7 linked regions of the Ovis aries genome follow. The protein of the gene in region 3 interacts with the protein of the main gene of each other region in a pairwise test. Links are inferred from orthologs where the notes say so. Each region holds a gene or a part of one and is shown on either strand. Other genes may lie near its edges.

Region 1 (4,771 bases), on a different chromosome or scaffold from region 3:
CAGCCCTTCCAGGAGATGTGGCTCCCCCGCTCAGGTCTCCTCTCCTCTCCTCTCCTCTCTTCTCCTTGGAGCCTCTGATAAATTGACTCCAGGAGCCTGAGCTTCTTAGCAATAAATAAGCTCCAAATATAGAAGAGGGGGGAAAATATGATGAGCCTCTCTGACATTTGTCTTTAAAATAAAACTAGCTGCACGTCAAGTTTGAGCTTAATTTCTGGAAATAGGCGGAAGTCGCTCCGGATCATGCATGGAAGGCTAATTGAAAAGATCAGTCGGGGCGCTTGTGGCAGCCTTGTCACTTTGTGACAGTGCTCCGCTCCGGGAAATTGCATCGTCACGACAAACGGGACCGTGATAAAACGACCCTTTCCGTCCCTATTTGTAGATCACTCAGACGAGATTGAACTGCACTCGTTTCCCCTTCGAGGGGAGCCGCGTTTTCAGGGTAGCTGAAGGCTTGGGGCAGAGTAGGGGGGGGGCTGACTGAGGGGGCGTGCTGAAGCCTCAACTCGATGAGAAGTGACAGGCGTTTGGGGTATCTAGGCTCCGCCGGGCTGGGCTCGAGCAGGGACATCGCGGGGACACCGCTTCTCCAACAGAGCGAGGCCTAGACCCCGCTTCTGGTTTCTCCTAAATTCCCTTTATTGCCTTCCTTTGCCTCTAAAGAACTTCTACTGCTCCAGCTTACAGGAGCCTCCCCTTTGGGCAAAGGACGCCTTCCCGGGAAAAAGAAAGGCACCCCCAGAGAAAGATGGAGAAAGACTCTCCAAACTTCACGCGCAGCCGAGGCAATTCCCAATCTGGGAATGCCAACGCGTATGAAGCCGCCTAATCCTAGACCTCCCTCTTTCCCCCTCCCCCCAACAGGCAAAAAAAAAACAACCTGCCCGCCACCTCCACGGCGACCGCCGGCGGGTGCTCGCCCAGGGCCAGGTCGCCTCTGCCAGCATCGAAATGGCAGCGAGGAAGCGCCGCTCTAAGTTCCCCTTCAGAGGTTAAGCCTCAATCATTGTGTCCCTTCCCTAGGGACGGCTGGCGCTCTCGCCCAGTGGCGATGATTATGCGCCTAGAATTCGACCGCGAAGCATCTAATAGGAAAACATATGGTGTCAATTTGGATGCTCTGCGCCTCGCGCACACCCGGGAGCGAGCGGCACAAAGCCCTGCAGGCCGGCCCGCGACCCCGCGCCCCTCGGGGCCCGCCAGCCAGGCCGCAGCGGCAAATGCTCAGCGCCGCGCGCCCAGGACCGGCCTGCCCGAGAGCCTGCGGCTGGGGCCCCTGTGCTGGAGAGGGGAGGACCCAGCAGCCAGGAAGAGTGGCCAGAAGACCGAGTCTCGCCAAGGAGGGTTCCTACCGGGCCAAGTCCCCGGGGCCTGGCACGTTCTGCACAACTAATCCGCCTTTCCAGCTCTGCGCCCGCTTTGCGCCCTCTCCTGCGCTTCACGCCCACCAGCCGCTGAAGGGCCAGGGGACAGCTAGCGGCTGCAGAACAGAGGGATCAGGGGCTAGGGACCCCTCTCAGTCTGCAGTTCGGCAAGGGAAGGTTTCTAGAAGATTTAGGCTTTCAGGCACTCCATACAGCGGAGCCCTTAAACCGCCTCGGGGCACTGCACCTCTACCGGGGCCTAGTTTCACTGGGCCTCCAGGCTCTCAGGCCCTGTCTCAGATTCGTCCTGCCACAAAGCAGCTCCCACGTACTGAGCAGAAAGAAGGGATGGGAGCCCAAGGGGTCTAGGCAAAGGGAGGACGGGAGATGCAAGAGCCAGGGAATCAAAGGCACACTGGGCCCGGAATGACTAGGACCCACCCAGTAGCCACTAGGGCAGGGCTGCTCCAACTCTTGGGCTCGATCCCCACTCTCCTCCCAGACCCAGTAAACCTGCTCTCGCCGGTCTGCGCCCTGTAACAGTCCCACGGTTCCAGTACCAACTCCACCCCACCGCAGGCCTGGGTGCCCCACTCCCCTGGCCTTCCAGGCCCCTCGCCAGGGTGGCGATGGGAGGAGCTGCTCTTAGGGTGACTGGGGGAGAGGAGCCCCCCACCCGCCCCAGACGGTGGAGACCTTCAGTCTTGACTAAGCCCAAGGGGCCTCCTTCTCGCGCTACGACGGCGAGAGGACTCCGCCCCGCCCCGCTCAGTCCAGCCCCCCTCTCTGGGGTCAGAGCCCGGGCAGGGGCGGGGAGGGGGTGTGAGTTACAGGATTTGGGGGGATGGGGTTTCTCTTCCGCAGCTTCACAAACTCTTGCGGGCTGTTCTCAAGGGCCCAGCCCCTGTTCTTCCAGGAGGAAGCAAGAGAGCAGACGCCCTCCCCTCGTGGAGCAGCTGCCTCGGGTCCCCGGGCCTCTTCCCTCGCGCCCGCGGCCTGGCCAGTGCGGACACCGAGAGCCTCCAAGCCCTCCCCCGACCTGCGCGCTGGTCTGCGCCTCCCCCGCCCGAAGTCCAAAAAGACCAGAGGCAGAGGCACTTACTGTTCTGCATGCTGGCGCTGGCTGGGGGCCGCGGTATCCCACGGGGCTCGAATATGGGGCTCTGTTAGCAAGAATATAGGCATTAATTTTGGGCCGGCACCAGGTAGGCCTACCTCCCTACATAGGGTGTCCTGGAAGCAGGACAGGAGAAAGCCTCTTCTTTAAGGAAATAATCCACTCCATCAGTTTGGGGCTATTGGATCAATCAGTTTGGGCAGATCAGCTCTGCACTCCAGTACGTGCAAAATCTATCTTTTGCATTACAAATACTCCAGTATTCCCGGTCTGTTTCCCCCATATCTCTTAGTAGTTAACCCTTTAGTCAGAAGAATCCATGACTTGATTTTGAATTTTTTCTTCCAACTGAACAACAATGAAGAAGCAGCATTCTGACTCTTTCAGGTTGGGGAACCCAAAGCAGCCAGCATGGAACTTGCCTGAAATCTGGGATGTCTGTCCACTCTCACAATAAAAGGTCTCACACATCTGCGCGCCCCTAGTTAAAGTCTTCCCCCTAAGACAAAACAGAAGGAGAGAAAGGTATATCAAACTATGACTCAAAAGCATAGATCATGGACTCTCTGATCCACACTCTCAGAAAGAGAAGAAAAGAAAGCCATCTTGGGCTCAAACTGCCATAAAACTCTAAATCCCAGAGCTACACCCACATTTCCAGCAGCCTGTCCTGCAAAGGTCTCCACGTTTTGATAGTGGCTGCTCTGACCCGGCTTTGGGCGATTTGCAGAGCCTGACAATTTAGGGCCCCGTTTTGCAAAAATACCAAGAACCAGGGAAAGAAAAGGGGAGAACAAGAGAAACAGCAGGGTTGGGAGAAGAAGCCAAGAGCTGGGGGAAGAGGGGCTTACACCTGAAGTTTAGAGGTGAAGCACAGGGGACCCTGAAACTTCAGAGAGCTTGAGGGTGCAAGCTGGGGCTGCTTGGGAGGATGTCAGAACCATTACTCCTTTCAAGAATTTCACTACCCCAGTTGCCCTAACCCCCCTCCCCAACCCAAGTCTTTGGTTACCTCTTTATCCTTCACTCTCCCCCTCAAAACTTCCCAGTCGGCTTGATCGCCATTCACTTCCCATTCTTTCTGGGACTTTGAAAGTGGCAAGCCCAACTTTTTCCCCCCCAAACCTCACTTATTGTGATTAACTTCTCTTTTGGTGTTTAGATCTTCCCCCCTTTTACTGTACTGTGACACACGCTGTCTACCTCGCCTCACTGCTTTAAAAAGTACAAACAGGAGGGGGTGAGCGTGGTCGACAAAGCATACAGAGAGCGAACAATGGCTTCTATTCTCCAGCTCTCCCCAAACCCAAAGAGCAAAACTGAATCTCCCTAACTAGCAACAGAGCTTCCAACCAAAGGTACCAACAACTCACCAACCCATAAAGGGAACAGAGGGACACTTCTCGCTTTATAAGTCCTGACCCAGTGCTAGTCCCCCAAGGTGAACACCCCCTCCACCAGCACCCCTCCCTGTCTTCTCTTAAGAAGAAGGTTCTGGGTGGGGGAGAAAATAGAAAAATAATTTCTTGTTATAAATATCTGGAGGTAATTGTGTTACTGGTGTGAGTTGTTAGGGGCTGTAAAAAGATACAACGGCACCGTGGGGAGCTCAATTGGGAAGAGAGAGTTACAATAAAGAACCCATTCAAAGGTTTGCCAAAAAAAAAAAAGTAAAATAATTAAATAGTCACTTTCCCCGCTTTAAAAAATTAAAATATTCATTCTTTTTTCTGTTTTGCCTATTATGATTATTAATTTTGCCTGCCTGCAAGTAAAGAATTCTAAGAAGCAAATTTTTTTTTCTTCAAGGCTATTCATGGTCTAATTTAGTAACTAGCTGGGAGGCAGTTTAAATCCATAAAAATAAACTTAGAGGACTTTCCTCTAGCTTCCCAAGGCAGTTTCCCAAAGCCTCTCTCCTGTCTCTCCATCCGGAGACCAAGTCAAGTCCAGGAGAGGCAGAAAAAAACAACTTTTCGCAGAATGCCCAACTCCCCCCATACACCAAGTTGGATTCTGAAACTGCAAACAGTAGCTGGTGGGGAGAAGGGGGACTGATATTCCCCTAGAAGGGTAAAACTTCCTACTGTAACCTATACCTATACTTAACCACAACCGAATGCCCCCATCCAGGTTGGTACATTCTTGGAGCCTTTTTTTTTTTAATCACTAGCTGATTCCAGAGAGGCCTAACCGATTAATTTTCCAAGCAGCTGGGAAGGTGGAAGCATTTCAAATCCTGGTTTTGCTCCTTTCCCACCCTCCTCTCAACTAAGAAGCTATCTCA
Region 2 (3,182 bases), on a different chromosome or scaffold from region 3:
CTCAGCTGCCTTCACGTTTCCTTTGCTGTTTCCCCTCCTTTTTAATCCCCCAGTGGCGCCTTCTCTTAGGGTCGGTCCCTTATGCAACTCTTTTGCCGCAGTCACTTCTTTATACTGTGCGTGGTCCACTCAGGTGGTCTCCCTATCTTAAGAGACCTTGATTCCATCTGCAGAATCTCTTTATAGACATGAGGTAGCGTGATCCTGGGTAGTTATACTCAGGGTTCCCCCAGACTCCAGGATAGCAGATGCAGCAAGAGCAGGGCCACCAGGGACCATCTTAGAATTAAGCCTAACCCCAAGCCTCATCCTTGAACTCCAGAAATGATTCCTGAAATCTCTTCTGACTCCTGTTCCATCATTGTTGTTTTTGTTTTGGAATTTTTTGGTGGTGGTTTTTTTCTAAAATACTTTGTCCTTTCAGTGTCTTCCTTTGTCATTCCCTCTGGCTTGACTGTCCACTGGTGTCATTTCTCCTGCTCGCTTAGGCTCAGAGCCTCAAACGTCTCCTCCTCCTCCGCTGCACCCTTGAATTCTGCTGTCAGGCTCAGTCTGTCTACTTGCCCAGCCCTAGGTTTCACTGACATCACCCTAGTTCAGGAGCCTTCTCATGACGCCTGATATTTTGCATTTGTCTCTTAACTGACCTCCCTAACTCCCTCTCCATCAGGTCAAACCTACCTGACCTCCCCTCCCTCTGCGGGCTTCCGCACTAAAGCAGTCCATCTCTTCCTTGTCCCTCTCAGCCCTCCCAGCTCCAGCTTCTGCCAGTATTCCCCACGGGTGAGCTGTCACACTCCCCTGTGAAACTCTTCCTCTCCAAACCACATGTGATAAACACTTGTATGGCACTTGTTTCTAACGTGTGAATATATGTCCTGGTCTGATTAAGACCTTGTGAAGAGAGGAGTTAAGTTTGTTGAGCACCAGCTATGTGGCAGGCTGTGCAAAGGAGGGACGGAGGCCCTACCCCTTAAATGATGTCTTCTGCTCTACCTGTGGGCTTTCCCCTCCCTGGTTAAGCCCACTAGGGACCTTCTTCTCTACCAGAGGGGCCATCAGTCCACAGGCAGCATGGTGCCTTGGCGCCTATAACCAGGGCCCTCCTCCCACAGCACTGTAACGGCGTTGACTGGCGACAGAAGCTTGATTCTCAGCGAGGGGCTGTCATTGCCACCGAGCTGAAAAACAACAGCTACAAGTTGGCCCGCTGGACCTGCTGTGCTTTGCTGGCCGGATCCGAGTACCTCAAGCTTGGGTGAGATTCCTGCCCAGGAGCCATGAGCTCATCTTCGGAAAGGAGGGGTCTTCGCGTTAGGAGACCAAGGCTGCCTTTTTCTCCCTTTTCTTGGGACAAGCACGAGGCCACCATTTAACTAGTAACTCAACCCCAGGCACAGCTATGTCTTTGTTCCGGCAGGCCCCACCCTAACACTCCTCCCCCCAGTAGTTAACGTGTCCCAGTGCCACACGATCTGTGCCAGCCAGGCCCCACCGTAACACTGCCACCCACCTCCCCCCAGTTATGTGTCCCAGTGCCACATGGTCTGTGCCGGCGGGCCCCACCCTAACACTCCTCCCCCCGGCAGTTATGTGTCCCGGTACCACGTGAAAGACTCCTCACGCCACGTCATCCTGGGTACCCAGCAGTTCAAGCCCAACGAGTTCGCCAGTCAGATCAACCTGAGCGTGGAGAATGCCTGGGGCATCCTGCGCTGCGTCATCGACATCTGCATGAAGCTGGAGGAGGGCAAGTACCTCATCCTCAAGGACCCCAACAAGCAGGTCATCCGTGTCTACAGCCTGCCCGACGGCACCTTCAGCTCCGATGAGGACGACGAGGAGGAGGAGGAGGAGGAAGAGGAAGAAGAAGGTGTGTGGCAAGCCTCCCTCAGGATTCTGGCGTGACCTGTGGGCTGGTTGGGGCCTCTAACCAACCAGTCCTCTAACCTCAGTGGAAAACTCCAGGAATTCCCTGAGGCTTCACTTGGTATGGCATTCAGTCTAGTTCCAGGAGCCACTTCCAGAGCCTTTCGAGCACTTGACGGGGTTGGCGAGGAGAGTTAGGGCAGGAAAGAAACGTCTAGAGGAATGTGCTAGAAGTCCCTGATACTAGCCAGTGGCCCCAAGAAGGAATGATGCTCCAGGTTCATGTTAGGCCTTAAATCGTTCTCTCACCTGCTTCACCAGTTGGTGACTAAAGGAAATACCTGTTAGTCCTCTGAGGATCTGAATGGTTTCACATCTGAGTGAAAGTGTTGGAAATCATAAGCAATTCACCAATTTGATACAACCTTTGTATGTTTCAGAGGAAGAAGCCTGAACCAGATGGTGACGCGGAACTGGTGTCTGCGACTGCATCGAGCCTGGAGGACCCTGAATACCTGGTGGGATGTGTGTCTGACTCTTGCTCTCTGAAGCTGGGCTATTGAAATAAACTCTATTTAGTCCCTTACCTTCATCTGTGCCTACATTATGACCGATAGCCCTTCTTCCTTCTCCTAGTAGCCTTTCAGAGAGGGAGGGTGAGACACAGCAGAGTCTCTCTGGAGTTCATAATCTGGGTTCCCGCCTTTGTTCTCAGCATTAGTGGTTTTACATTCCTGCTAGAAGGTGAATGCCCTGGGGTGTTTTGTTCTTGGAACCCCTTGAAATTATCCTTTGCCAGGGAGTGAGATCCATTGTGAGGTCCCCATAGGAAGTCCATTTCACAAGCACAAGCTGGCTACATGCCAGACCCAGCTGCTGCCCTGAGACACACACATCACAGTAATGATGAAGCAGGGCAGTCTTTGAAGCTTGAGGTGAGGTCGCTGCTGTGAAGGAGACCGCTTCAGAATGTCCTGAGGGATGTTCCATAGGCTGTTGATTGTAATGGTTTGTATAAACTTCCCTGATAGCTCAGTTGGTAAAGAATCCACCTGCAATGCAGGAGACCCCAGTTCAATTCTTGGGTCAGGAAGATCCCCTGGAGAAGAGATAGGCTACCCACTCCAGTATTCTTGGGCTTCCCTTGTGGCTCAGCTGGTAAAGAATCTGCCTGCGGTGTGAGAGACCTGGGTTTGATCCCTGGGTTGGGAAGATCCTCTGGAGAAGGGAAAGGCTACCCACTCCAGTATTCTGGCCTAAAGAATTCCACAGACTGTGTAGTCCATGGGGTCGCAAAGAGTCAGACACAACTG
Region 3 (4,079 bases):
CCTCTCCCCACACAGGGAGCAGCCCATCTTCAGCACACGGGCACACGTGTTCCAGATCGACCCGGCCACCAAGCGGAACTGGATCCCTGCGGGCAAACACGCACTCACTGTCTCCTACTTTTACGACGCCGCCCGCAATGTCTACCGAATCATCAGCCTCGGGGGTGCCAAGGTCCTGGTGGGGCCCGGGCGGGGTGGCAGGGGCCAAGGATCCCAGGACAGGACTGGGTCCATTTGCTGCCTTGCTGTGTGTCTTGGGGGCCAGGGGATACTCTGAATTTTTCTGAGTCTCCATCTTCCTCCTGAAATGGCTCAAGCCAAGTGGTGCTAGTGGTAAAGAATCCACCTGCCGATGCAGGAGACTAAGAGACATACGTTTGATCCCTGGGTCAGGAAGATCCCCTGGAGGAGGGCATGGCAACCAACTCCCATTCTCCTGCCTGGAGAATCCCATGGACAGAGGAGCCTGCTGGGCTACAGTCCATAAAGTTGCAAAGAGTCGGACAGGACTAAAGCGACTTAGCACAGGAGGGCTAATAGAAGGCGATTTTCTCTGGGGGTTTCCTATTGATTATTATTACCAGTTCCATCACCCGTGAACTTTTCTCCCCGACTTCACCTTCCCCCAGGCCATCATCAACAGCACTGTCACTCCCAACATGACCTTTACCAAAACCTCCCAGAAGTTTGGACAGTGGGCAGACAGTCGCGCCAACACTGTCTATGGTCTTGGCTTTGCTTCTGAACAGCATCTGACTCAGGTGGGCCTGCGGGGGTACATGGTGGGAGGAGCAGGGCTGGGGTTGGGTCTTCTCTTGTGTGCACTGCGGGACCCTGGACAGATGCTGGGCCTCCATCTTCCCAGCTACAGGATGGGCATACAGAGTTGGACCAGCCTATAGCCCCTTCCCACTCCCCTGGTCCACATCCCAGCTCAGCTGGCCACCTGTTTTGATTTTGAACACACCCTGCTCCTCTCTGGGTGCCTTTAATGGGCTGAGTGCTTCCCCACACCCCTGGCAGTACCTTCATCACCACCTCCTTCCACCCTCTGCTGTTTCTAGAATTCGGCATTGTCTTATGAATTGTTTCCCTGTATGGTTCATGCTCTCTGCGATGCTTTTCTTCTCTTTTCTTCTAGAAGCATTAGTTTCCCTTTCAAATTTTAGATCTTGAATTAATTTCTGCAGGCGGTATAAAGTAGGAGTATTTTTTTCACATATGAGTATTCAGTTGCTCTTGGGACTTTTTTTTTTTTTTTGCCACACCATGTGGCATATGGGATCTTTGTTCCCCACCTGAGGATTGCACCCCCTGCACTGGAGGTGTGGCGTATTAACCACTGGGCCACCAGAGAAATCCTGGAACGGTTTTTGAAAACACTACCTACCCCCAATACCCCCAGTGAATTGCACTGGCCGCTTTGCACAACCCAAAGGGGGTGTATAGCTATAAATATTTTAAAAATTACTTTCAAGCTAAGGAAATTTATTTTAAAATTTAAAAAGGTGGGGGGCTTCCTTGGTGGCTCAGTGGTGAAGACTCTACCTGCCAGCGCAGGAGAAACGGGTTCCATCCCTGGACTGGGAAGATGTTAGACGCTGCAGAGCAAGGAAGCCCGTGCGCCACAACTATGGGTCCCGTGCTCTAGAGCCCGGGAGCTGCACCTGCTGAGCCCACGTGCCCCGGAGCCTGTGCCCTGCAACAGGAGAAGCTGCAATGGGAAGCCTGTGCACCGCCACCAGAGAGGAGCCCTTGCTCGCTGCAACCAGAGAAAAGTCTAAGCAGCGATGAAGACCCAGTACAACCCCAAATAAATACATAAACAAAAACTTTTTTAAAAGGGCTCCCTGGTGGCCTCGTGGTTAGGATTCCAGGCTTTCACTGCCATGGTCCAGGTTCAGTGCCTGGTCAGGGAACTGAGATCCCACAGTCCACTTGGTGCAGCCAAAAATAAATAAATAAAATGGAAAAAAAAAAAGTATATCCTACTCTAGCTGGAAAACAGGTATGGGAGATTAATGTAAACTATGACAAAAATGAGAACAGGGGGATTACTTTCCCACTGGCTGCAGGTGCCTGTCAGAGGCTCCAAGTCCAAGACCTGCTTTCTCTTTGTCACAAAGGATATTCACAAGCGTCCCAGGCACGAAAGACAGATTAGCACCCACCTGAGGCTCTCCTTACTGAGATAAGCTGATTGAGGGGAAAAGGGGATCTCTTTCTCAAGGTGGCCTCCGTGAACACCCCACCCCTGCCCTCTAGCCGGATACCCACTCTGCTCCTTGGGCATCATTTTCCAAGCCTTCTTCCCTCTCTTGCAAAGTGACAAAGCTAGTGCTGGGTGGGAGTCATGTGGTGGGGCCCTGGTGGAGGGGGCTGGGAGTTTGTTGACTGTCTGTTCCTATTCCTCATCCCTCAGTTTGCTGAGAAGTTCCAGGAAGTGAAGGAGGCAGCAAGGCTGGCACGGGAGAAATCCCAGGATGGGGGAGAACTCACCAGTCCCGCGCTGGGGCTCACTGCCCACCAGGTCAGCACTCCTTGTCCCAGAACTCAACTGCCCTGGAGGGGAAGGGTCTAAACGCTATGCCGGTGCTCAGGACCAGACACTCACTGATGATGTAAAACTAGAGCCGTGACCGTGGAAAAGGGTCGTGGGTGCCGTGGGTGCCGTGGGGGCATGTCATAGGCCTGCCTGAAAGGAAGGCCAGAAAGCCAGCTCACGTGGCAGCGTGGAAATGTGAAAGGTGAAGTGGCCAAGTAGTGGTGCGTGCTTGCATACTGTCGCTTCAGTCGTGTCCAACTCTTTGTGACCCTATGAACTGTAGTCCTCCCGCTTCTCTGTTCATGGGATTCTTCAGGCAAGAATACCAGAGTGGTTTGCCATGCCCTCCTCCAGGGGATCTTCCCAGCCCAGGGATATTGAACCTGCGTCTCTTATGTCTCCTGCATTGGCAGGCGGGTTCTTTACCACTGAGCCACCTGGGAAGCCCTAAGTAGCGGGGTGGGGTAAAAAACTGTCCCTGAGCGTTTCCCCCCACTAACCTATTCAACATCATTGATTGACCACCTACCGTGTGCCAGGCCCAGGACTGGGCACAGGGCTTAAGAAGATAAAAGAAGTAGGCTGGTCCCCGCCCTCAGGACTGTGGTCCAGGCATCAGGTGGATTCATAATGAATTTAGCCTAATAGAGTAGGTTTCTCATAGGAATTTTAAATAGCTGTTGAAATTTGGCCCCAGGAAAGGTCATTGCGGTGAGGGAATAGCACCGAGGCTTCAGATTGCTCCCCGATTTGCAGATTATGAGTATCTGTCTCCCTGGGTTTAGGCTAGCCTGCATTAGATTTGTTGCTGGTGGGTTGGTGAGAGCCCAGCAGGCAAGGAGGCGGGACAGGGCGCCAAACTACAGCCCAGGGGCCATGTGGGGGCCGTGGATGGTGGGGGAGGAGGGGAGAGGGACGATTGGATCCCAGTGCTGGGAAGGACCTCCTGCGCCCTCTCAGTCATGACCCCTGACATCAGCCCTGACCCCAACCATGACCTAACTGGCCCTTAACTGAAGCCACGCCCTACTGTGACTTCACTTCTATCCATGCCCTTAGGTGCCTCCGAGCCCCCTCGTCAGCGCCAATGGCCCCGGCGATGAGAAGCTATTCCGCAGCCAGAGCGCGGATGCCCCGGGCCCCGCTGAACGCGAGCGGCTCAAAAAGATGCTGTCCGAAGGGTGAGGAGGGTAGCACAGGGTGCAGGGGCGTGACAAGACGAAAGGTGGGGGAGGCGGGAGGAAGTTCTCAGAAATTGCTGGGACTTGTTCCAGCGGCGCAATCTGACAGTGGATCCACGCCTGGGATCCCAGAACAGGCCTGGGTTGGAGAGGAGACACCCAGATTATGCCCCTTCCAGAGCCGACGCCGCTTGCCTCATCCATTCCTCGGGGCTAGCCCTGGCCCGTCCACACCTCCCCCAGCTAATTCTAAACCCACGGATGCCTCCCCACCCCCTGGTTCTGTCCACATCCCATGGGCTGATACTGAGCTCCATGTGGACTGTCTCGCGGAGCGGACACAGAAGGGCCTG
Region 4 (4,079 bases), on a different chromosome or scaffold from region 3:
CATGGAAGACGGTATGGAGATTCCTTACAAAACTAGGAATAAAACCACCATATGACCCAGGAATCCCCTCCTAGGCATATACCCTGAGGAAACCAAAATTGAAAAAGACACATGTTGTTCACTGCAGCACTATTCACAATAGCTAGAACATGGAAGCAACCTAGATGTCCACTGACAGGTGAATGGATAAAGAAGTTGTGATAGATACACACACACACACACACACACACACACACACACACACACACACACACACAATGGAATATTACTCAGCCATAAAAAAGAACAAATCTGAGTCCGTTCTGATGAGGTGGATGAACCTAGAATCTATTATACAGAGTGAAGTGATTCAGAGAAAGATAAATATTTTATTCTAATGCATATATACAGAATCTAGAAAAATGGTACTGAAGAATTTATTTTCAGGGCAGCAATGGAGAAACAGACCTATGGACATGGGGAGAAGGGAGAAGAGGGTGAGATGTATGCAAAGAGTAACATGGCAACTTACATTACCGTATGTAAAATAGATAGCCAAAGGGAATTTGCTGTATGGCTCAAGAAACTCAAACAGGGGCTCTGTATCAATCTAGAGGGGGTGGGATGGGGCAGGAGATGGGAGGGAGGTTCAAAAGGGAGGGTATATGTGTATACCTATGGCTGATTCATGTTGAGGTTTGACAGAAAACAACAATATTCTGTAAAGCAATTATCCTTCAATAGAAAAATAAATTTTAAAAAAGTCAATGAATGCAATACACCACAACAGAATGCTGGAGGGTGGGGTGGCGGTGGATGCATGATTACCTTGACGCGTAAAAAGCATGTGTTAAAATCTAAGACCCTTGCATAAGCAAATCATTTGAAAACCTGCCCTAATGACGACCCTGTATGCAAGACAGGAAAAAAGACACAGATGTGTATAACGGACTTTTGGACTCAGAGGGAGAGGGGAGGGTGGGATGATTTGGGAGAATGGCATTCTAACATGTATACTATCATGTAAGAACTGAATTGCTAGTCTATGTCTGACGCAGGGTGCAGCATGCTTGGGGCTGGTGCATGGGGATAACCCAGAGAGATGTTGTGGGGAGGGAGGTGGGAGGGGGGGTTCATGTTTGGGAACGCATGTAAGAATTAAAGATTTTAAAATTAAAAAAAAAAAAAAAACTAAAAAAAAAAAAACAAAAAAAAAAAACAGAAAAAAAAGAAAAAAGAAAACCTGCCCTATCATCACGATACATCTTTTCTTCCTCACAACTAAACTGATTTATTTATTTATGGACTACTTATTGCAGAAATGTCTATGTGGCTAAAAATAAGAATCACAGAAAATAAAAGCTGTAAACAGAATTTACAAGTAGTAACTACTACAGTGGCTCTCAGCTCTGGCTGGGACAACACTTCAGACCAATTGAATAAAAAATCTTCAAGGTAAGGAATACATAGTTATATTTTTAAAAAGTTTGACCGGTGACTGAAACTGCCCTGGTAGCCAGAGAAAGTGAAAACTAGTATATATGGCAGAAATAATATACACTTCATGGGCTTAATCTTTCTAAGAAAAGTAGAGCTTTTTTCCACATAGGATACTGTGTTTATTCACTATATAAAGACTAGAAGGGCAAAAAAGAAAAATTACTTACACTCCATAAACTCTGACATATGTCTCTCCAAGTAAGTACGAGCTGATTGAGATCGGGCTCCAATGGACATAGCTCTGCAGTCAAAATAGTTAGCAGATGGACAAGTTTGGAAAATGTGAGGACCCATATCCTACAAATAGAAGAAAAATACACTGCATAATTCTTGACTCTAATTGAGCTAAAAATTAGAAAATTTGTTAGTTTCAAAAAAAATCATTAAAATATAACAATACTCTATGAACTTACATCATAACCAGCAATGAGCAGCCCAACACCATATGGTCTCCGGCCATATCGCTGTGTTGGTATCTGGGTTTCTTAAACTAGTTAAAGAGTTTGTTCTAACAAGAAGTAAAGTACTGTCTTTAATTTCAAATTAAATATTATCAACAAAGAGTTCTGGTTTTTTTAAGTGCTGCATAATTCACTACCCCAAGAAGAAGAAAATAAATATTTCTTTGGCTTAGTGTTAAAAGATGTTTGACTATCCACCAAACCCCAAGTGAGTGCTAGCAAGATGATCTTTTCTGGTGTAGAGAATTTCATTCATTTTGGATCTAAGGGATCTAAGGATTTAGGGGGAGCATCTATAACCACGAATAAACAAACATTAAATCTCTTCTAAAATTGATGCTCAGTTTTTCTGAAATTGGGCTTATCTATATCTGGAACATATTAATTGCTTATCTATAAAGGCTGATAAAAAGAACAAACCAACTCAGTTAGAATCTATTCTTCCATAGTAAAACTCCCTACAATTCTCCTTCTAAAGACTTAAAGCATTCTTTTACTGAAAAGTGACTCAACTTAAAGTTTGCACAATCTTACCTATGTTATATATTATCATATTCCTAATAAGTAATATAACGATTAAGTATCAAGACCCTTTAAAGTCTACATCCATAAATGCTACAATAAATGCATAAATGAAAAGGATACTGCTTCCAATTAGAGATACAAGACGAGACACAGGAAGAGGTCTGTCAAATACAAATCTGGAATCCAAACACTCCTGGCGCATAAAATTACTGAAAAAGAAACAAGAAAAACTGGTAATTTCAAATCAGAGTAATTCTAATCAAACAAAGTTATTTGGTTTCTTTTTGCTTTCTTCCAGATGTTTACACGTACATCCACACAATGGAACCATAAACATATAATGACAAGGATAAATTTTTCTATCAAATCTCTATATTTTAAGTGTTCTATTATTGAAAGTGACTAACCTTAAAATTTTCACCATTTTACCTAAGTTTATGACTACACGTTTCTTAGCTCTAGATAACCTTTGCCTCAGAGCACTTTACATAACAGAGAAGAAAAGGCTGCACGATAGGAAAAGAGCAATCTCTTCTCTTACCCTTCCCACTGTCAGCAAGACTGTCTTAATTCCATGTCTTGAGCTAGCAAAAAGAATAACTTTGCTTTTTTCCTTGAAAGCTGACAAAAATTTCCCCAACAGAACAAACAGAAGAAACTGAATCCATACTAGGGCGCTGTTAACATGTTTCTGTCAATGTTACTTCTCTCCATAGCAGTACTCTAGAGGAGACACTACACTGTTAAGTCTCAAACCCAACAAGATGCAAGCAAATACAACACTGGGGAAAAGAAAATTCACACCTATTAAAGCCAAGAGGATAACCTTTTCTTTCATATTGCTCTGTCTAGTTTATGTGTGTGTCACATCCGATGATCAGATGTTGGCTGCTGTAACCAAGCTAGTTGTTCACTACTTTCACTTAAGTTCCTTTCCAAAGGCTGTCTAACACTGCATTGCTCAATATGGCAGGCACTAGTAACATGTGACTAGTGAGCACTGAAAAAGTGGTTAGTCTGAATTAAGATGTATCTTCAGTAAAAAATATACATAAAATGTCAAAGATTTGCGCAATAATGTAAAATATCCAATAAAGCTTTTAAACGATTACAAGTGACAATATTTTTGAAAGATTGGGTTAAGTAAAATGTTTGACAATGCAACATATATTTTCAACAGCTAACAGAAAACACTAATGTAATCACTATATTGCTGACCTAAGAGAACAGGGAACTCACCAAATAACTTGAAAATTTTAAACATCAGCATTATTAACTGTCTTCGGTGTTTATATTCCTCCTTTCCTAATTAAATCACAGACGAGATTATTTGTGGCTAACTACCTCCTACTTACCAACACATACACTGAAAGATGCTGTATGAAGTGTTCTACATGTTAGGCTATTTGTCAATAACCTTGGAAAAAAAATACTAAAAAAATTCAGAGTTTGAGTAACTAGAGCAACATCAGATTGAGTGTTAAAAGTGGGAATTAAAGACTGTGTGATCCCAAAGCCCCAGCTCTTCATCTGCAATATGCCTCTCAACTGGAAATAATCTTTATCCCCCACCCCCTCCAAAGAAATATACCTGTTGCTCTCCACTTTCTACCT
Region 5 (3,609 bases), on a different chromosome or scaffold from region 3:
TCAAATCCAGGTCTCTGGCATTGTAGTTAGATTCTTTATTGTCTGAGCCACCAGGGAAGCTCCATTACTTCAGATAGGGCTCCCCAAATTTTGTTCCAAATTTTAGAAGTTTATTTTAATGATTATCCTGATTTCTTAAATAAAAAGACTGAGGCTCAAACAGGTTAAATATTATACATGATATCACATGGTAAGTCACAGAGGTAATATAGAATAGAAATCTTATTCTAGGGTTCAGAAGACTTCCAATAGCTTATGTAAATGGACTGTTTATTAACATATCTTCTTGGAACAAATATACTTCAGAAGCATAGACCTATCTTCAGAAAAATGTGTTTACACATCACCTATATGCTCTAAGTGCAAAAATAAAGTCAAGATAGAGCTTTACCATTTGACTTTTCAAAACATAGATCCTAACATCTTCCTGTGTTTTTTCATGAACAGGGTGTTATTGTTGGTTTTTTCCCCAAAGGTATGAAATGAAAACTGTCTTTTTTTAAAATAAAAATTAGAACAGAAGAACTCACGGCTGAACAGCAAGATCCTGGATTTAATCTCAACATCTGATTTTCCACAGTATATGGAGGAACAGTATATGACTGTGACTCTTTTTATTTCTTCAGATTTTTCCTCTCCTAAGATCTCTCGTATTTGTTATTATTTGACGCTCTGCTTGTAGCTCTGAATCATTTTCATTCTTTTTCCTCCTCTAACTCTGCTTCAAAACTTCTGTAACTTATTTGCTGTGAAGTCTAAAATCTCTTCTGCAAGTGAGCGTACTGGGTGCACCAGACAGCCATGGACCCCAAAGACTGCTAAGGATGCCATATGTTGCTAAGAAGTCTTGCTAATTTGCTCTATCAGCTGAATGGGGTGTCAGAGAATTTTCTTTTCCTTTATGAACTCAGAGTGTTTATGCTGTGACCTGTATCAGCAATTCTGCTTGGATCGATCACTTTCAGCTTACCATTTTTCATCCCTCCGTGAACGTTGCACCTAATTTTCCCTGTAATCGGTTCAACAACTGTCAGCTGTTCATGTTTCAACTCTTTCTGCCAATAACTGCTGGAAGTGATTTAATGCAGCTGGAGAATAAACTGACAATCATTATAGCCTGCAAAGTGTGAAAAAAATTTCATTGCACTATTGTGATCTGAGGACCGATGACGCCCAGCGGATGAGACTTGGAGTGGGGGTGGACGGGTAGGGGAGAAGCCTGCTTTATAATAATTAAAGAACTTGTGGAAGAGGGTGATTCCTGGGGCAAGTTAACTGTTTATCCGGTGAACCCTCTTCCAGGGCTTGTTTTATAAGAATTCACTGTAAGTGCCCAAGGGAAATACCTTCATCTGAATGGGGTTTCGGTGCTGCCTGCGCTCAGATGGTTTCCTCAGCTGATAAAAGTCCTCGCTAAGGAACCGCACAGATGTGGCTCCTTTGGGGAAGATGAAGGCAGAGGAGACAAACACGGGGGCGGAGCGGAGGGGCAGCAGCCAGTGATGCCTGCAGGCCGACGGGATCCCCTCTTCCAGGCCGGCTCACCTGCGCTGCAGAAGAGATGCCCTCGCCCCTCCCGCGGCGCCCTCACCTGCCCGGCGACCTCTCGCCGTCGTCGGGGGACTCGCGGCCCTGCAGCAGCCCCTGCGAGCTCTTGGGGGGCATCTTGCCGCGGGCCCCGCGCCTCCGGCGTCGGCTAGCCTGGTGCTCCATCGACTGGGAGCAGGTGCGTCTACTACGGAGGCTGGGCGCGGGGGGCTTCGGCTCAGTGTACGAGGCCACCTACCACGGTGTGCGAGTAGCCGTCAAGCAGGTGAGCGGGTGCTCCAAGAACTCGCGGGCGTCAAGGCGCAGCTTCTGGGCCGAGCTCAACGCGGCCCGGCTGCGCCATGTTAACATCGTGCGCGTGCTGGCGGCCAGCACGCGCCCGCCACCGGGTTTCGACAGCCTGGGGACCGTCATCATGGAGTTCGGGGGCAACATCACCTTGCACCAGGTCATCTACGGCCCCACCGGCTGCCCCGGGGACTCTGGCGCGCAGCTGGGCTTGGAGAGGTGTCTAAAGTACTCCCTAGACGTGGTCAGCGGCCTGCTGTTCCTCCACGGGCAAAGCATTGTGCACTTGGACCTCAAACCGGCCAACATCCTCATCAGTGAGCAGGATGTCTGCAAGATCGGGGACTTCGGCTGCTCCGTGAGGCTGGAAGACCTGCGGAGCCCGTGGACGCCTCACCACCTGGGCGGCACCTACACTCACCGAGCCCCGGAGCTCCTCAAAGGAGAGCCTGTTACACCCAAGGCCGACATCTACTCCTTCGCCATCACCCTTTGGCAGATGAGCACGCGGGAGGCGCCCTTCTCGGGGGAGCGGCAGCACGTGCTCTATGCCGTGGTGGCCTACCACCTCCGGCCCGCTCTCCGGGCACCCGTCTTCACCGACTCGGTCCCCAGGAAGACGTTGGCGGGCATCGTCCAGCGTTGCTGGGCGGCCCTTGCTCCCGAGAGGCCGAGCGCAGAACTTCTCTTGGGGGACCTCCACGCTTTGAAAGAGGAGCTGGGAGGACTCGAGACTGGATCCAAATAAGCGTCTTTGTTTCTGATCGTTTTTAACGAAGTGAAGATTTAGCGGGGGAAAAAATCATATAGGTAGGATGGATTTTTAGAAAATAAAGTCCCTTAAAAACTCCCTTTATCTCGAATGCTTTTTCTAAGACAAACCGCAGAGCGGTCGTGGTGCTCTTTGTCGTTATTTAGTCGCTAAGTCTTGTCCGACTCTTTTGCTACCTCATGGACTACAGCCGGCCAGGCTCCTCTGTCCATGGGCTTCTCCAGGCAAGAATAGGAGAGCAAGTTGCCATGCCCTCCTTCAGGCAGTAACAGGTATTCCTGAATAAACTGTAAAAAAAAAAAAAAAAAAAAAATAGTTGTCTGCAACCCCAACAAAGAGGACAGCAGCTCATTACTCTTGTTGTTTTCATTAAAATGGCTATTGTTTGTATTTGTTGTTGTTGTTGAGTCCCTAACTAGTGTCTGACTCTTTGCTGACCCCATGGACTGTAGGCCACCAGGCTCCCCTATCCATGGGATTTCCCAGGCAAGAATACTGGAGTGGGTAGTCATTTCCTCCTCCAGGGGATCTTCCTGATCTTCTGGACCCAGGGATGGAATCAGGGTCTCCTGCATTGGCAGCTAGATTCTTTACCACTGAGCCACCAGAGAAGCCCCCTGGTGGTTTCAGGACCTACCTTATCTCCTTACAGGGTTACTGGGCTTACTTTAACAGTTCCATGGTACTGCACTTTTTCAAATTTGTTATTTGTAAAACCAGGTTTTCCAAAGCAGAACTGAATTCGAAAATGCCAAAATTCTTGATACTCAAATAACATGCTCCATACCCACCACCTAAATTTAAACTACCAACAGTTAATTTTGTTCCCATATTAAATAAGTGAAAACATTAAAAAAAGATTAATTTTTCCTTCCTCCTCCAAAACCTACTTGTTTCTAATGACCTTCACACATAGAACTCTCGAATTGAGATAAATTTAGTTTTGTAGGAATAATATGTTAAATGAGTTCTTGTGATATTTTGAACTTGTGTAATTTTGC
Region 6 (4,596 bases), on a different chromosome or scaffold from region 3:
AAGGCTATGGTTTTTCCAGTAGTCATATATGGATGTGAGAGTTGGACTATAAAGAAAGCTGAGGGCCAACAAATTGATGATTTTGAACTGTGGTGTTGGAGAAGACTCTTGAGTCCCTTGGACTGCAAGGAGATCAAAGCAGTCAATCCTAAAGGAAATCAGTCCTGACTATTCATTGGAAGGACTGATGCTGAAGCTGGAACTCCAATACTTTGTCCACCTAATGCGAAGAACTGACTCACTGAAAAAGAGCCTGATGCTAGGAAAGAATGAAGGCAGGAGGAGAAAGGGATGACAGATGAGATGGTTGGATGGCATCCCCGACTCAATGGACATGAGTTTGAGCAAGCTCCAGGAGTTGGTGAATGACAGGGAAGTCTGGTGTGCTGCAGTCCATGGGGTTGCAGAGTCAGTGACTGAGGGACTGAACCAAACTGAAGGCTGTTAACCTTTGATCCAATTCTATGTGGAATTCCGTTTAAGCCCCTTCATGAATATGCATACACTGCTCAATCCCTCATGAATATGCATGTACCCTTAGCTTAAAACTTCCCCAATTTTGCTATTCAGGGAGACACTGCTTGGGGAAAGATCCCATCTACTCTCCTCCCTTGCTGCAAGTAATAAATTCTTCCTTCTCCAGATCTTTTGACTTGGTTGTCTTTTGGCTTGACACCCACCAAAAGGGGAACCCGGTTTGAGGGTAACAATAGGAAACACAAGAGCTGCGATCTGGAAGGTATTTGTCTTGCACAAGAGGGACACAGCTCTCACCGCTCCTGGAGCAGAGGTAAGAATGAATTCAGCTATGTTTGTAGGCAGAACTTTAAGGATTTCCCTCCTGATTGCCTCCAGTTCCTCAGGGAAATAGAAGACAAGGAGGGACTTGGGAGAGTGGTAATGGACAAATGCCAGCTGCAGAGAACAAGAGAAGCAGCTAAGGACACTTGGAAGGACTGACGGTCCAGGTGAAACTGAAAACCTTGGACTTGCCTTGGCACCAATCTACCTGGCCGTGTGGTTTTCTTCACAGTAGAGGAAAGGGGGGAAAGTTATATACAAAGAATGGAAGTGACCCAAAAAATCAAGTTTCCTTTGGCTTTTTCTTGAAAGACAAAAAGAGAATCTCTTCTACTGACCCAGTGCCACCGTTTTACCCACTTCAGAAAACACCACCAGTCACTCGTCTCATGTTAGTAAAATAAGCAGAGAGTGTCTTAAAGAGTAGAGAAGGGAAGAGCCAGAAGAACTGGCCCTCTCCCAGTCGGGTGGGAAGGAGCTGGAACATTTAGCCTTCCCTAAAATCTGAAAGCTGATATGTACGCCCTGGGGTTCAACGCTGAGCCTTCTCCCCGTGACCCTTCCTCTTTCCCAATACCTTCCAGCTGTCCCGTCGTGTCATATTCAGGCCCACTTCAGGTACTCCAACCACCCCTTCCAAGCTCGCGTGCCTTTTCTCCACGTGGTTCTCTGTATATGTCGGTCGCCTGGGAGATCCTGGTCGGGCGGGGCTCTGATGACGTCATAATAGGAACAAGCCAATCGCCGTGACGCGTCTCAGTGACGCTAGACGCGAGGTGTGGCTTTGCCGGCCCCGGGCGCAATGAGGCGGCAGCCCGCTGGGTGGCGCCGATTTCCCGGGGAGGTCCTCTCTGGGCCCCCGGCGGAGGTGGGGTAGAGGCGGGCAAGAGCCGAGGCCAGGGAGCCCTCTGCGTCAGCGGCTGTTTACTGCGCCGCTCCAGTACCAGCCGGGACTCATCGGTAGCTCCATGCTTGTGCCCGGCTCGACTCATCCATCCTCAGAGAATAGGCAGGTACGTGCCACCTGTCGGAGACTGGGGAAGAGGGGATACGGAGGGCAGTGCCGTGTGAGGCTCTGAGAGTGAGGTGTCAACGACCGCCTGGGCAAAATGGGCACTAGAAATGTAGGGCAAGTGCCAGCTGCGCTGAGGATCTCCAGCTGTGGGTGCCAGTTGTGTGTGTGAGCCGACAGCTCAGGGTGCCAGGGAGAGCCATCTGTGTGCTGATCAGTGTGTTCTCAGGAAACGCTGCTTGGGCAGGACCGCATCTCCGAGCCCTGTGTGGGATGTGGCGGAGAGTGACGCCTGGGCCCTGGCAAACCCCTCCCCACGTGTGCGTGGCAGCCTTCTTACTCCCTCCTCTCAAAGCTCCTGGGGGCTTGTCTCTGATCAGTTTGCCAAAGAGGGGTAGGGGTGGGGGGGAGGGTAGTAGTTAAGTGGAAAAGGGGTAGATTTTCCACCAATCCCAAACAAGAAAGAGGCATCTTTGAAATTCTCACCAATCCCAAACCAGAATCAGGCACGCGATGCTCCAAGGCAAGTAACTTATACTCAACAGCCTAAGGAAGCCCATTCTGGCTGTCCTCTAAGGAGGAGCATCTACCTCCTGACCTGGCCGCTCTTAGAATGGAACTGAGCTGGAGATCCTGCCCATGCTCATCTCCCCAGGCACAGGCAGGAATAGGTCCCCAGAGTCCGACATGTACAGTGGAGGAAAGGAGAGCTGGTTGGGCTGGGGTTGGAGCAGCCACCATTCCTTTGATGCTGTAGATGATGCCAGACTGGAGTCGGAATGAGGACTGGAATGAGGGCTGGGGACGAGGGCGTCCTCTGAAGTGCATCATCAGGACCTGAGCTGAGTCAGTAGTCTCTGCTGAGACAGGGTGGAGGCACCATCCCGGGTACTCCCAGTCCTCAGGGACAGCCATCGAGAAACAGGAGGAACAGCTGGGAGCTGACAAGAGCACCAAGGTCCGAGAGGTTCAGAATCCTGCACCTTCCTCCTGTGACCCTGCCCAGCCAGCCTGGCTCTGTAGGCTCGGGATCCTGAACACTCCTCCAGGTAGAGTGGAACCACTCCAGAGCAGCCAGGCTTGCTCCTGGTAGCCTGGGGGAAGCTACACTTGCTATATATTTTTCTAGGTAGAGAAGGAAAGAGCCCAAGTGGGCCTGGCCCTCCTCTGATGGGTGGACTGCACATCTGGGAATAGGGTAAGCCTCATTTGCCTTGCCAGCTATGGGACACGGATCAGCTCGGAAAACCATGGCAGTTTTCTGACATGAGAACAGGGCACTCCCACGGGGTGGCCTGGAGGAACCTTTTCTCACTAGCAAGGTTCACCTGACAAATGCTACCACTAATTAGAAGTGGAAGTATTTGATCTAGTAGTGATTATCATTTATTGAACTCTTACTATGTGCCAGGAAATTAACAAGCATTATTTAATCCTCACCTCCATGAGGTATATCATTATTATTACTCCTGTTTTAAGACTAAATAAGGTTTGGACCACTTAAATGACCGCTTAAATGTCTCTGAGGCAATAAAAAGGAAAGACTTGGAATACAAGCCCAAGCCTAGAAGTCCATTATAAAAGAGCTTGAACTGGAAACCTGAGAGAGGTCCCTTCTGCCTCTCCCTGCTTCTGTGTCCTTGAGGGAGCTGCTGTCTGCCTCCAGGTCTCCTCCATCTCAGAGCTAAAGGAGGTGGACTGGGGCTTCTTTCTCTTCTCTACTTCTGTGACTGACACCTCCTTCTCCATATTTTTGCCTAATTCCACCCCCATCCCTCTACCCTCTTTCCAGTTCTGCTTCCCCTTGAATCCCCCTTCTGTTCCATTTCAAAATGCTCCCTGCAAACAGTCTCCCAGGATCTCCTTGCCTGGCACCCACCTCGAGAGGGAGGGCCTGCCACTGCCCCTTTAATTCTCCCTGGGCTCAGAATGCCAGCGAGTGGAGCTAGCCATCTCCATGAGGTCAGATAAGATACTATATATATCGAGTCAGTAACCTGAGCCCCGGATTACCCGGCCCAAGTCAGACTCCTGCTTCTGGGCTCGCCACTGCACTCCCTGCCCTGCCGGGGAAGGAGAAGCCCCCAGATCCTGCCCAGTGTCCCCGGACACAGGTCGGTAACTGCTCCTTTGGTATCCGAAATTCACAGGGCCGTTGTCCCTAGGGCCCTGGACTGTCTGTTTGAGGGATCCCTGTCTGTTTGGGGGAGCATGTGAGAGGCCACCCCACCAGGCCTGGAGGTGCTATGGGCAAGACCCAGGGGCAGAACCAAGGGCTGGGAGGCCAGGAGGAGGAAGCTGAAGCCCTGGAGGAGAGGGAAGGAGCCTGGGGCTCTCCCCTGGGGTAGGGGTTCCAGGAGAGTGCCTGGGACAGTCGTGGTTAGAAAACAGAATTTAAGAATTCCAATACTGCCTGGGGGCCCCATATCTTTGCCTTTTCTTGGAGGTATAGAGATGCCAACCCCCTCCCAACCCAAATGAAGGAGAACCCTGAAGAGACACTGCGTTAAGCCCACCCACCTCTTCTCCTCCAGGCGGAATTCTGGTTTTAATCTCCAGTCTCTTTATTTTACCTCTTTTGCCCGTCCCAGCCCTTGAGTAACTGTTGGGATCTAGAGAAACTGAGAGGGACCCAATCCCCTTGATGACCCCCGGCCAAGGCCTATCAGGCACTAAACTGGTGGGTCAGAGGGTGCCAGCCCAAGAGGTAGAGCCGCTAGCTCCAGGCTGAGGCTCCTGGGCATCTGAGAGCAGTAAACAGAACTCCTGAACTGTGAGAGCAC
Region 7 (4,079 bases), on a different chromosome or scaffold from region 3:
ATGGGAAAACATAGTGTGTTTCCATAAAGTCTAAATATCATAAAAGTGTCAGTTCTCTCAGATTATTTTGTAGATATCATGTAATATTTATCAAAGACTCAACAAAGTTTTCCAGGGGTAGAACTTTAAACAGTACTTAGCCTCATAAAACATACATACATAAATTGGTAAGAGATAGTTTTTTAAAGAGGGTAAAATCATGGCTCTAATATGGATATAAAATAAACATATCAAATATTTTATATAGCTCATTAATTTAATGAGGGAACCAATATGATATTATCAATTCAAAGGAGAATTATAAGTACCACACGTATGCAGGCAGGTGAGTGTTGAAATGAATTTGCAAATAGGTGTAAAATAGGTCAATAATCAGTTGAATTACACTGAACACAGCTAATATGCATTTCTGTGGACAAATACGCATTATTTTCAGTTTTCTACAACTTACAGAGTTATAGACTACCTCAAAGGCAATGGGAAATGACCCAGAAGGCTAACTGGATACTTGGTAATCCTTTTCTTTCTTCTTCTTTTCCCTTTTTGTTGGTCTGCCCATTTCAGAATCTTTCACAATTTTTTTTTTTGGCAACAAATGCAAACTAAAACAATCTTTACATTGTCTCAAGTTGCAAAGAATTTTTAAAATGTTAAAGTCTACTGTTGCTTTTTATGATATTAAAAAATTGAAATCAACCTGAAAGGCCATCAAATAAGTAAATGGTTAAATAAATTACAGCACATTCATGTTCTAAAACACAATGCAATCCTTTAAACTCATGCTTTCAGAGAATATTTAATAACATGGGAAATGCTAACAATATTGAGTGAAAAAAGCAGACTAAAAACTATGTAGTGAATTTGGTCTTAATTTTAAGAAAAAAAGTATATCCAGTGAAAAAACTGGCAGGGGAAAAAATATACAAAAACAGCAGGTATTTCCATGAAGCAGAATTATGGGATATTTTACTTTATTCTATTTTTACCTGTTCCTTTCTTCTCACCTTTTATTGCATCTTCTCCTCCCTTAACACATTCTTTCTTTTAAGATACTTTTATTTGCCAAATTTTCTGATACAGAGCAAATAGATATTATTAATTCATATGGCAGTGAGCCATGTGGAGGAAAGACATTATCTATTACCAATTCTTCCACCACAGGGCTTGAGATAGCCCTGGAGTAGAAAGAACCCTCTTCTGCTTTTCTGACTAGAGATAGGGTGAGTCCTTAAAATCCTACCCTCTAATGAAATCGCAGTTGTCCACCATGGGCTTAGGGTCAGCCAGCTTCCTGCTGTATCATTATTGTTTACCTGGGCCAGGACTGGTGGAGTTCTCCGGCAGTGTCTTCATACATGTGAAAAGAATGTGTCTTCTTCCTTCTACAGAACCTAAAGGAGCTGCTGGTGGTGGTGGTGGCGGCGGCTATGGCGGAGGTGGCGGCGGCTATGGCGGAGGTGGCGGCGGAGGAGGTGGTGGAAGTTTTGGAGGAGGTGGACCACCCGGTTTGGGAGGACTGTTCCAGGCTGGAATGCCGAAGCTGAGATCCACAGCCAACAGGGAGAATGGTAAAGAGCATTTTCTTCCCTTAGTAACCGAAGACTAAGGCACAATCTGGCGGTTTGAGATTTGGCATCCCCTCTAAGGCACTATGCCCTTTAAAACATTTTAGATTGCTTGAAACGCTAACACCGTTTTATAAGAGGGACTCTATTTAGCATCGTTTTTTCTTTTTAAATCAGGATCAGACAGCTCCATCTAGCTGTTAAATATTTGCCCAGTGTCCTTGGGGAAACTTGTACTTTTTTGTACTTTTCTAAAGGGTGAGCTAGATTGGAAAGAAAAGGAAGGAGCAAATGAGAGAAAAATCATGGAAACTCTGTCTGGTGACATGGCAGATTCAGCTTTCTTTGTGAGGTAGTCTGACCTAGCTGTCTAGTGGAGTAAATACTTGTGAGTCTCTTTTCAAACACACAGTGGAGCATGTCTTAGAGAATATAATTACATATCTCACAAAAATCTAGAAGGGCATTTTGCCTGGCAGACATTTGCCATTTCAGGGCCAGCGATTCTAGTATTCTCTGCAGGAAGCCATGGAAATGGGTCCTATAGGAATGTCTGTGAACAGAATGGCAGAAAGAAAACTGAACCTGGTCATGCCTAAATTAAAAACCTTATAGAGTGCGTGAGGCTCTTCCCTGATTGTGACAGAAACTCAAGAAAGTTTTCCATGAAATTTTATTTTTTAATGTTTACTGTGCTAGAAGAATTTTATTTTTAATTCCATGGTCTTTTAAAATGTCACTGGGAAATTCTCACATTCACATGAAGATAAAGGCACTGAATCCTCAGAGTTAGCTGACTATGTTAGTTTTGGATTGTCAAAATCTAGAGGGAGACTCACTAATATAAGAGATTTTATCTTGCTAGGCCTGCATTTAGAATTTGTATATTTAAAACCTACTGAAAGGTTTTGAGGCAGCAGACATATGCATACGTTCAGTACTCTAATAGTAAGTGAGGAAATTTAGGCCAGAGACAACTGGAAGTAAAATAATTAAATGAAGATGGAATTGAAGTTAATGCACAAAATGGTGTACCAGAAGTATATACTTTCACAGCATACAATTTGCATATTGGGTCCTACATGTAGATGTAGCTATGGATAATAACTGTACCTTTAGGGCTTCCCTGGTAGCTCAGTGGGTAAAGAATCCACCTGCAGTGCAGGAGACCCTGGTTCAATTTCTGGGTCGGGAAGATCCGCTGGAGAAAGGATAGGCTACCCACTCTCTCTGGTATTCTTGGGCTTCCCTTGTTGCCCAGCTGGTAAAGAATCCACCTGCAATGTGGGAGACCTGGATTCAATCCCTGGGTTGGGAATATCGCTCGGAGAAGGGAAAGGCTACCCACTCCTGTATTCTGGCCTGGAGAATTCCCTGGACTGTATAGTCCATGGGTTGCAAAGAGTCTGACACAACCGAGCGACTTTCACTTTCATCCAAACTTTGAAGATAAAACTTATCACAAGTTGGTGACATAGAAACATACCACACAGCCAAGGAAAATATAGCTAATTTCTAGTGCTAAAGTCAAAACAAAAAATTCTCTCTAGAGTTCACATTACTCCATTGTATAAATCCAGCCAAATGTTTCTCATTGGACTTTTGGGTGAAATCTGAACTCCTTTTGGCCTACAAGGCTCTTAATCACCCGGCTTCTGCTGACCACTCAGGCTGCATTTGACAGTGTTCTCCTCTGTGCTCACTGTGTCCCTGGCATATGAGCCTTGGTTTTTTAACTTAAGCTTACTTCCACCTCAGGGTCTCTGTACCTGCTGACACTCCAACTGAAGCACCTCTCTTCCTCCTTTCCATGGCTGGCCTTAGCTCAAATATCACATCCCAGAGGAGCCATCCCCAGCCATGTCCACCTATCCTGGCCTCTCTAGAACTCTTCATGTCATCAGCCTATTTTAGTTTATTTTTAGTACTTATAATGATCTGAAAATATTTATGTTTACCGGGTTTTTGTTCATCTCCGTAAGAACATAAACTACAAGAGAACTGGATTGTTTCTATTTTGTTTACTCCTCTGCCTCTAGCATCTAGAATAATGGTTGGTTTATAGTATAGCAGGTACTCAATAAATAATTGGTGCATGTTTAAACTGGTAGGAGTTTCCAGGCTAAGCATTTTTTGAAGAATGAATTTGGGTTGCAAGAGACTCTGCAGTAGTGATTTGAATTTTTCCATAACTTTGGTTCCTCTTTAGTTCTGCCCTTTGCTGAACCAAAGCAGTCGAACATTAATTATGTAGTAGGGTGGTTCTGTCCTATATTATTGAAGTGGAACGACCTACTAGGGAAAAAACTGTATAATTGCCTACTTGTTTCCAGATTAAGACCACTTCCTGGTGTCAGCTCTTTCAATTAAACTTTAACAGCTTCTTTTTTCCTTTGCAGTTTCTTATTTCAGCCATAATTTTTCCATTATATTTTTCCCATCCTCTCTTGCACATTTCTTTAACAAAGGGGCTAGGTAAGCCTTCCCATATAGAAACTTATATTGGGATAACTT

The links.
Region 1: the proteins of HOMER3 (region 3) and PAX6 interact in binary tests that used the Homo sapiens proteins (3 or more experiments, as listed by UniProt). The link is inferred for Ovis aries from reciprocal best matches to the Homo sapiens genes HOMER3 and PAX6.
Region 2: the proteins of HOMER3 (region 3) and EIF3D interact in binary tests that used the Homo sapiens proteins (3 or more experiments, as listed by UniProt). The two-hybrid records come from large-scale screens. The link is inferred for Ovis aries from reciprocal best matches to the Homo sapiens genes HOMER3 and EIF3D.
Region 4: the proteins of HOMER3 (region 3) and PSMA1 interact in binary tests that used the Homo sapiens proteins (3 or more experiments, as listed by UniProt). The two-hybrid records come from large-scale screens. The link is inferred for Ovis aries from reciprocal best matches to the Homo sapiens genes HOMER3 and PSMA1.
Region 5: the proteins of HOMER3 (region 3) and MOS interact in binary tests that used the Homo sapiens proteins (3 or more experiments, as listed by UniProt). The two-hybrid records come from large-scale screens. The link is inferred for Ovis aries from reciprocal best matches to the Homo sapiens genes HOMER3 and MOS.
Region 6: the proteins of HOMER3 (region 3) and USP2 interact in binary tests that used the Homo sapiens proteins (3 or more experiments, as listed by UniProt). The two-hybrid records come from large-scale screens. The link is inferred for Ovis aries from reciprocal best matches to the Homo sapiens genes HOMER3 and USP2.
Region 7: the proteins of HOMER3 (region 3) and WIPF1 interact in binary tests that used the Homo sapiens proteins (3 or more experiments, as listed by UniProt). The two-hybrid records come from large-scale screens. The link is inferred for Ovis aries from reciprocal best matches to the Homo sapiens genes HOMER3 and WIPF1.

The regions. Positions count from the first base shown.
Region 1 is NC_056068.1:61,391,912-61,396,682, forward strand, and holds the start of PAX6 (paired box protein Pax-6), read right to left. Parts: upstream 2,964-4,771; 5' UTR 2,907-2,963; intron 2,531-2,906; 5' UTR 2,480-2,530; coding exon 2,470-2,479; intron 1-2,469. UniProt on the Homo sapiens protein: Transcription factor with important functions in the development of the eye, nose, central nervous system and pancreas. Required for the differentiation of pancreatic islet alpha cells.
Region 2 is NC_056056.1:180,569,701-180,572,882, reverse strand, and holds the end of EIF3D (eukaryotic translation initiation factor 3 subunit D), read left to right. Parts: intron 1-1,115; coding exon 1,116-1,258; intron 1,259-1,523; coding exon 1,524-1,873; coding exon of another isoform or gene 1,874-1,908; exon of another isoform or gene 1,909-2,309; coding exon 2,310-2,323; 3' UTR 2,324-2,455; downstream 2,456-3,182. UniProt on the Homo sapiens protein: mRNA cap-binding component of the eukaryotic translation initiation factor 3 (eIF-3) complex, a complex required for several steps in the initiation of protein synthesis of a specialized repertoire of mRNAs.
Region 3 is NC_056058.1:4,095,437-4,099,515, forward strand, and holds part of HOMER3 (homer protein homolog 3), read left to right. Parts: intron 1-15; coding exon 16-172; intron 173-629; coding exon 630-761; intron 762-2,422; coding exon 2,423-2,530; intron 2,531-3,604; coding exon 3,605-3,726; intron 3,727-4,079. UniProt on the Homo sapiens protein: Postsynaptic density scaffolding protein. Binds and cross-links cytoplasmic regions of GRM1, GRM5, ITPR1, DNM3, RYR1, RYR2, SHANK1 and SHANK3.
Region 4 is NC_056068.1:37,966,273-37,970,351, reverse strand, and holds part of PSMA1 (proteasome subunit alpha type-1), read right to left. Parts: intron 2,675-4,079; coding exon 2,586-2,674; intron 1,964-2,585; coding exon 1,893-1,963; intron 1,777-1,892; coding exon 1,647-1,776; intron 1-1,646. UniProt on the Homo sapiens protein: Component of the 20S core proteasome complex involved in the proteolytic degradation of most intracellular proteins. This complex plays numerous essential roles within the cell by associating with different regulatory particles.
Region 5 is NC_056062.1:36,287,395-36,291,003, reverse strand, and holds MOS (proto-oncogene serine/threonine-protein kinase mos), read left to right. Parts: upstream 1-1,494; 5' UTR 1,495-1,561; coding exon 1,562-2,584; 3' UTR 2,585-2,686; downstream 2,687-3,609.
Region 6 is NC_056068.1:29,668,804-29,673,399, reverse strand, and holds the start of USP2 (ubiquitin carboxyl-terminal hydrolase 2), read left to right. Parts: upstream 1-1,676; 5' UTR 1,677-1,814; intron 1,815-2,709; exon of another isoform or gene 2,710-2,862; intron 2,863-2,947; exon of another isoform or gene 2,948-3,011; intron 3,012-3,838; exon of another isoform or gene 3,839-4,596. UniProt on the Homo sapiens protein: Hydrolase that deubiquitinates polyubiquitinated target proteins such as MDM2, MDM4 and CCND1. Isoform 1 and isoform 4 possess both ubiquitin-specific peptidase and isopeptidase activities.
Region 7 is NC_056055.1:135,480,354-135,484,432, forward strand, and holds part of WIPF1 (WAS/WASL-interacting protein family member 1), read left to right. Parts: intron 1-1,388; coding exon 1,389-1,568; intron 1,569-4,079. UniProt on the Homo sapiens protein: Plays a role in the reorganization of the actin cytoskeleton. Contributes with NCK1 and GRB2 in the recruitment and activation of WASL.